2 linked regions of the Mus musculus genome follow. The protein of the gene in region 2 interacts with the protein of the main gene of each other region in a biochemical or structural test. Links are inferred from orthologs where the notes say so. Each region holds a gene or a part of one and is shown on either strand. Other genes may lie near its edges.

What was found.
Region 1: the proteins of Shc1 (region 2) and Gab1 form a complex in vitro, tested with the Homo sapiens proteins (2 studies listed by BioGRID and IntAct, with this or other methods). The link is inferred for Mus musculus from reciprocal best matches to the Homo sapiens genes SHC1 and GAB1.

Annotation. Positions count from the first base shown.
Region 1 is NC_000074.6:80,877,669-80,881,984, forward strand, and holds the start of Gab1 (GRB2-associated-binding protein 1), read right to left. Parts: upstream 2,812-4,316; 5' UTR 1,936-2,811; coding exon 1,864-1,935; intron 1-1,863. UniProt on the Homo sapiens protein: Adapter protein that plays a role in intracellular signaling cascades triggered by activated receptor-type kinases. Plays a role in FGFR1 signaling. Probably involved in signaling by the epidermal growth factor receptor (EGFR) and the insulin receptor (INSR).
Region 2 is NC_000069.6:89,427,533-89,430,549, forward strand, and holds the end of Shc1 (SHC-transforming protein 1), read left to right. Parts: intron 1-784; coding exon 785-913; 3' UTR 914-2,497; downstream 2,498-3,017. UniProt on the Homo sapiens protein: Signaling adapter that couples activated growth factor receptors to signaling pathways. Participates in a signaling cascade initiated by activated KIT and KITLG/SCF.

The DNA of each region.
Region 1 (4,316 bases), on a different chromosome or scaffold from region 2:
ATCACTCTTCCCTGATTCAGAAGCTAACAGGTTTGGCATGATTGGGACTTTTGTGGGAGAACATTGCTGTGGTCATATAATGATACATATAAGTAAACATAATCATATTATTATTAATATCTTTATAAATAATCAGCTGTATTTGGTTTTTGTGCTTGTGTTTTCTATTTTTGAGACACGGTCCTGGCTAGCCTGGAATCTGCTATGGAGACCAGTTTGTCCACGGAGCCTCCCATTTCTGCCTCTGGAGTGCTGGGTGGTATTGGGCATATAATACCACCATATCTGTCCCTTATTAGTTGTCATTTTCCTTCCCTGCAAGGCTTTTCTCCTTACCTTGTGGCTGGTGCCTAGTACAGAACTCAGTATGTCTGGCAGGCCATAAGTAATGAAAGAATGCACCGGACTGCATGATCAGCAAATATATTGTACTTTAGTTTCCTCAAGAATCCTAAAACCGTCTTTCCTAAATAGTGCCTTACCTCTATCTCCTCACCCCTCATCGCCTCACCACAATCGTCTCTTTAGAACTAATTCTGAAGATGTCACTGCCACTCTCAAATTTCTGGAATCAAGTTGCCATCTTTACCAAGAAATCCAAGCAAACTGTGACAGATGGAGAGACATCTTTGGGGAACCTCTGACAATTTGTCAAATCACATCTTTCAATGAAATTACTTGGCTGTATTAAATTATACCAGAAGGTGAGCCCGAAACTCGCTGGTGAGCTCCGTGAAAATAAATATTGCCTGGTTTCACACAAGCAAGCGAGTAGTCCGATGATTCTTGGTGTAGACGCCCCTCCACCAGAAACAGGTTTCATCAAAACAGGTAGTAAACTCTAATTAAGTGGGTACACGTTTTGCTTTTGGGAAACACATTTCACCCTAAAAATACTTGTTTCAAATGCCGGTACAAAGTGTCATTTCTTTACTGACAGGGTACATCGCAAAATTAGCCAATCTGAAGGAAGACTTAGGACCCTAGATTCCCGATGAGGATATAGTTCCACTCAAGTATTATAGGCTCCTTCAAGATACAGTTTTCCTAACCGTGAACACAGTCATCTCACAATCAGCATCTTGAATCAATTACGCAAATACCAGTTAAGCCGTTCTGGTGCCCGGGAAAAGAAACGCCAGCATCAAGAAATCCCTGTTGGCTTCAGCTGTCCCCTCCTGCGGGGCTTGACAGCGCTTCTAAGGCGCCCAAACACCAGCCACCAGGCTCCCCCCAGCGCCCTCCTGCCGAATCAAACCGCCAGGGTTCTCAGGCCAAAATCCAGTGTCCTCAAAGCAAAACCATGAAAATGCTAAGCAGACGGCAGGGTTCATAAGAACTTTTTTCCCCTTTCCCTTGAGCGAATATTTTGAGAAGTTTGCCTATATTATCCACTTCTTGCGTCCACAGTTCACTTCCCTCCACCTCCTGGAGGCGCAAAGGAGAGCGGGCGCGGACCCAATCGAGAACCCATGAGTACTTACTACCTCCGCGGTTTCTCGGGGAGGGGAGATTTAACAGCTCCATGAGAATCTGATACAGATAATAAAAGAAGGCTCTTTCTCCCTGTTTCACTCCACCCTTGCTAAATGGAAATAACAACAACCAAAGTATGCAGCCAGTTTTGAGCTGGAAAACTGGGCTTCTCTAACAGGCAACGAGGCCTACAAGGGAGGCAGTCTGCAATATGGAGGGAGAAAGTTTGGCCGCCGAGTGGACGTCAGGGTGGGAGTGGACCGCACCCGGTCCGGAGCCCGCCGGCCGAGAGACGGATCGAGGAAAAGGAGGGCGGGATTCGTGGAAGAGCCAACCGGGCGCGCAGGCTGCTGCAGCGGGGCAGACGGTGACCTGACCTGTACTTACATAACGCTTCAACTTCTTCTCCGGGGGCGACTTGCGGAGCCATCCCGAGCAAACCACTTCGCCGCCGCTCATGGTGCACGCCGTGAGGACTCGAGGACCAGACACCAAAGGGGTCGGTGGACACAGTGGACGCGCTCCGTGCACGGCGGGCACGGCAGTCAAACGCAGCCCAGAGGACGTCTCAGATTCCCCCGACGGGGCGGCCCGGCTCCCCGCGCCCTGTGTCGGCGATCGAACCTCTCCCGCAGATTCGCGGACTGAAGAGGAACTCGATCGGGAACCGCGGGGACCAGGGCTCGCCGACCTTCTTTCAGTGCGCCCTCCTGGCCGCCAGGCGCGCCGTCCCGCCGCCTAGGCAGCGGTCGGGCTCCGCTGGGACTCTGTCCGGACAGGGAGCCCAGAACTGGAAGCCCTGCGCTCCGCCCCTTGGAAACGGGACCTCCCGCGGGTGCTCCCCGCTGCGGACCCCACGCTGCACGCGCACACACAATGCCCGCGCGCGGTGTCCGCTCCGCTCCGCTCCGCCCGTTGGCGCATTCACACTGAGAGGGGCTCGATCTTCTCTTTCCCTCTGCTCGGAAAAGGGCGCCTGGGAAGGCGTGCGGCGTCCGGGTGGCAGCCGGCACAGGGGCAGGTCCTGATCAGCCTAGGGAGTTCGCGGACCAGCAGCGAGGGTCAGGGCGTCGCCGGGCGTCGGGGAGGTCGCGGGTCCGCGGTGGGAGGGTGGGTCTGCGCTCCAGCCTCGGATGAGGGCGGGGATCAGCACAGGGACGAGGCGCAGGGCGGCTCTGCTTCGGGGAGGGACCCCTCTGTCCTGTCCCCTGCGCTCCTCCCCCACCCCGGGGGCGCGCGGCGGGTTCGGGGAGGCGCGGCCTGGGCCCCGGCCCTCCTCCTCCTAGCCTTTCTGCCTCCCCTTCCCACGATCGGTCGCCTCTAGCTTCAGCCCAGACTTTCTCTGAAACTCCTCCGGAGCGCTTCCAGCCAAAACAACAAGGGCTGGGGAGGCGGGGCCGGCGCTGGGAGGGAGCGAGATGGCAGAGGCACCCTGGGATCTGTAGTCAGCAGGCGCGCTGGGGTCCTCGCCGCCCCGCCGCCCCGGGCCCGCGCGCTATGGAAGGCGGCGGTCTCCGGGAACGCAGCGCCACCCCAGTGTGAGAGCGGGAGTGCCGGGCACTCTCGCCAGCTCCGACTGAGTTTGCCATCTTGACAACCCCCAGGGTCAGGAGTTTGTACTCGGCTGTGCCTTCGCGATCCAGAGTTTTCGGAAGGATTTCCCTACTTGACAGTCTGAAAAAATAACCCAGCCAGGAGGAGAACTCACTCAAGCGGGTCCTGGCTGCTCGAGAGACTGAAGGACTGCGTCTCCCGGACCAGGAGCGCGCTAGGACCCTCACTGTGCACCCAGAGACCAAGGGGGTGGGGGACCTCCTGGGTGCCTAGGGCCTGACCCAGGAGCTGTTCTACCGAGTGATGCTACCGCTTAGCCTCCACAAAGCGTTCAGCTGCGTGTATCTCTAAGACAGGATAAAGTCTCACACTGCTTCCACTCATGGGCTGTTTCTTCCAGTTGGCGTTGTGTTTGTTTAAAACCTGCGCTAGGATGTTGGACAGGAAAAGAAATCATTCTGGGTACCCTAATTCTATTTGCCTTTTTGTGTGTTTTACAGTTATTATATCTGGGCTGAGTTTGACACAGTCTTGTAACAGACTCTTCTTTACGGGTGTGTTTGAAACAAAGCCTTGGAACAAATTTTAGAAGGCAATATAATCAGACAAAAATTTTAAAGAGTTGGGCATGGTGATGCATGTCTTTAATTCCAGCGCTTGGGAGGCCGAGGCAGGCAGATTTCTGTGAGTTTAAGGCCAGTTTTGTCCACAAAGTGAGTTCTAAGGCGACCAGGACTACATAAAGAGGCCCTGTCTCAAAAAGGGAGTTTGTGTGAAAATACAAATAGATAAACAAGCATTTCTGAGAAGCATGAGTTTGGGGCTCTCCTAATAAATGTGTGTTCTGAGTCTGAAACCTTGGGGGTCGTAAAGAGGAAAAGGTGCTGGGAGCCCTGCCTGGCAGAACCCCTGTAATCCCAGGCCTGCCAAGGTAGGTAGGGGAGGGGGAGGGAAAGAAAGACTAGAGAGAGACATGGAGGCAGGAGTGAAGAAATTAAAGAAAGAAAAGAAAAGTAGATGCTAAGTTAATAATAAGACAAAAGCCCTTGCATATAAGAAGAGACAGTGCCCTTTGTTTTTGCCATAAAGTGCTTTTGAAATGGAAAAGTGTAATCTATCTTGTATTATTTAACTTTTGGAATTTCAAATAGAGCTTTTTTCCCAAATAAGTTTCACTTATTCCATTTCTATATACAAAAATCTACACCTGCAGTTAGAAACTTACACCTGCAACCCCAGCACTTGGGAAACTGAGGCAGGAGGATTATTGTGAGTTCTAGGTCAGC
Region 2 (3,017 bases):
CCTTGCTGGACACTTGCATCCACCTGCAGTGGCTCAGGGTTCCTTCCCTGCTGTCCTCGAGTCTGAGCTGTGTTCTTCTCAGTTCTGACCAGTCCTCACATCCCAGTGAAGCCTGCCAGCCCCCAGAGAGTGCTTACTTGATCTTTTGCTAAGTGAGGAAATGACACTGGAAAGGCAGTGGTGCCCAGTGTCAGTGGTTAGGGGGTGGAGACCCCAAATTTTCTCTTGCAAGAGGAGTCAGGAGCCTCCCTAGCTCCTTAGCTTCAAACTCAGGGTTTTGTTTTGTTTTGTTTTGTTTTCAACAAATCTAACCTGCCTTACTATTCCATACAACCTTGGTTTCTTTTCTTTTTCTTCTTTTTTTTTTTAGGGGAGGGGTGGTGGTGAGGTTCAAGACGGGGTTTCTCTGTGTAGCCCTGGAACTCACTCTGTAGACCAGGCTGACCTCGAACTGAAGCGCTCCGCCTGCCCTGCTTCCCCAGCGCTGGGATTAAAGGCTGTGCCGCCACCGCTCTGCTCAGTTTCTTTTCTCTTCTCAGCATTTTTTCCACCTTGGTTTTGCATTGTGTCACTTTTGAGAGACACCAGCTTCCTTCAAGTCAGAATTTTCACTGTCAGCTTCCGTGATTTCTGGTCTCCTTCCCCTTCGCCCAGTTCACTGCCCATTCCCACCCATGTGACTGTCTTTTCTGTAAAGATGCCTGGATAATCACGGCTGCTGGCCCGCCTTCCTCAGTCTTCCTGAGCTCTTCTCTTGACCCAACCTTCTCTCCCTGCCTCCCAGGTTCGGACAAAGGATCACCGCTTTGAGAGTGTCAGTCACCTGATCAGCTACCACATGGACAATCACTTGCCCATCATCTCTGCGGGCAGCGAACTGTGCCTACAGCAACCCGTGGATCGGAAAGTGTGATCCTTCTCAGCTTCTCCAACAGGATGCTCTCCATTTCCGTCTCCCGTATTCTCTAACTTGTGGGACCTCTGTTTTGTGGGTCTGGCCTTGGGTGGGAACTGGGAGCAACGAGGACATGGGTTTAGTGCCCACTTGAGAGAGAGAAAAAGAGGGTTTCAGTAAGGAGCCTGGGGTAGCATCCTGCCTCTGGCCAAACTTCACCAAAGTATTAATGTGCAGAGTGGTCCCTTGTCTGGGCCTTGCCTGTGCCAACCTGATGCCCTTCCCCCCCAAAGGGTGGGTTCTTATAATGGAAAATGCCCTGTGATGATAGGCCCAGTGGAGCAACTGCCCTTTGGGGGAAGGGAAATAATTATACCTCTGGTTTACTCCTGGGTCTTCAGGGTACCCCAGATCCCGCATAACATATCCCACTCCCTCTGCTTCCCCTTAAACTTTGTGCCTTTGACTATCATAGGTCTGCAGATACTTAATGCAGAGTTCTCAGGCCCTTCACGTGTGGACAGGGGTTACTGCCACCTTGGCTTCTGGAGCCCTGTCCTATTCAGCACCCCTTCCTGTGTCTAGGGAGAATAGGGACAGGAGTGGCCGCTATCTGCTCTGCCTTTCGGATGTGCAGCCCTTAAGAGATTGCCCCAAGCCTGAATATGGTGGCGCACGCCTTTAATCACAGCACTCAGGAGGCAGAGACAGGAGGAATTGTGAGGCCATCCGATCTACAACAGAGTGAGTTCCAGGACAGCCAGGGCTATGGAGAGAGAACCTGTCTCCAAAAACCAAAAAGAGCGATTACCCCAGAGCCTTCTTCCTGATGGTAGCGGGGAGGGGCAGGACTGGACCCATCTTGCTCAGTGCCTCCTGACCTCAATGCCTTTCCTCCAAGGGGTCTGTATACATTTCTCAAGCCTGCTCCTCCCATGTTTGCATGTGTGTTATAGTCTACAGCCAAAGTATAGCCCTCACTGTAACCCCATCCTGCCTCCCTCCTTTGGGATAGGTGTGTGCGTCTGACTTGGGCCTCCAGGGTGTGTACAGTCAGTGTGGGTTTTGTGGAGGCAATAAGACTGAAGCAGTAGACAATCCCCAATACCATTTGCAGGTCTGGAACTGCACTCTCTTTTTTAAAAAACATGTATACATTTTAGGGCTGTAGATTTATTTTCCTGGTTTTGTTTTTCATTGCTGACTTTTGAGCACAGAATTATGATAATCAATTACATTTATACATCACCTCGATGACTTTTCCAAACTTTTATTTTTTTTTTTAAACAACTGTTGGGATTTTACTCCCTGGCCTTAACTAGGACAGGATTGTACCCCACTCCTCCCCCCCCCCTTTTTCTTTTTCGCCAAGACAACTGAGCAGAAATTTGGCTGAGCAGTGTTGTGGGACTATGATGTGATAGTTTTAGATCCTACCTTCTGCTTTCGGGCAGCTGCAGCCAGCACAGAAACCTTGCAAGCTCACTCTGTGTGTAGGCTTTCTGGACAAGGAATGGTCGCCAAATTTTTGGTTTGGATGTCTTATACCAAAGGGAAATAGTCTTCATTAAAGTTCGTATTTCTTTTACCTCGGCCTCTCAACTCCTCTGGAAAGTCTGATTGATGGGGGCTGTCTGTGGGAGGTGGTGACGGACCCCATCTGGGCTAGGTCCAGTGGGCTCCAAGCCAGCGCCAGCCCGCAGGCACCAGTTTGCAGAGATTTGGGGAGCTGCGAGGCTGTGCGGTAGGGACGTATCTGCAAGGCGACTGGCTCGCGGCGGGAAGGGGCGTGTCCGGACCGCCCCCAGGCCCACCCGCAGCTCGCACGGCCCCTGTCGAGTGGTGCGTTCCACTCTGCTACCGGGCTAGCTGGGCGGCGACAGGCGCACTTCGGAGGAGTGGCGTGGCGAGGCCCAGCCTTCCTGGGTGCGGCGTCTGGGCCCTTCCCTGCTTTCCCTCCCCACCGCGTTCCGTGGTGGTGACCCATTGGAGTTCCGGTTCCGGTTGCTGTGGCTGCGGGCGGGCGGTGAGTCTGGAGCAGGCGCGCAGTTGGTGCAACGGCTCTGTGCTTTCCCCCTCGGCGTGGCTAGGGCTTGCTGCTGCTCGGGGGGGCTGCGCTGCC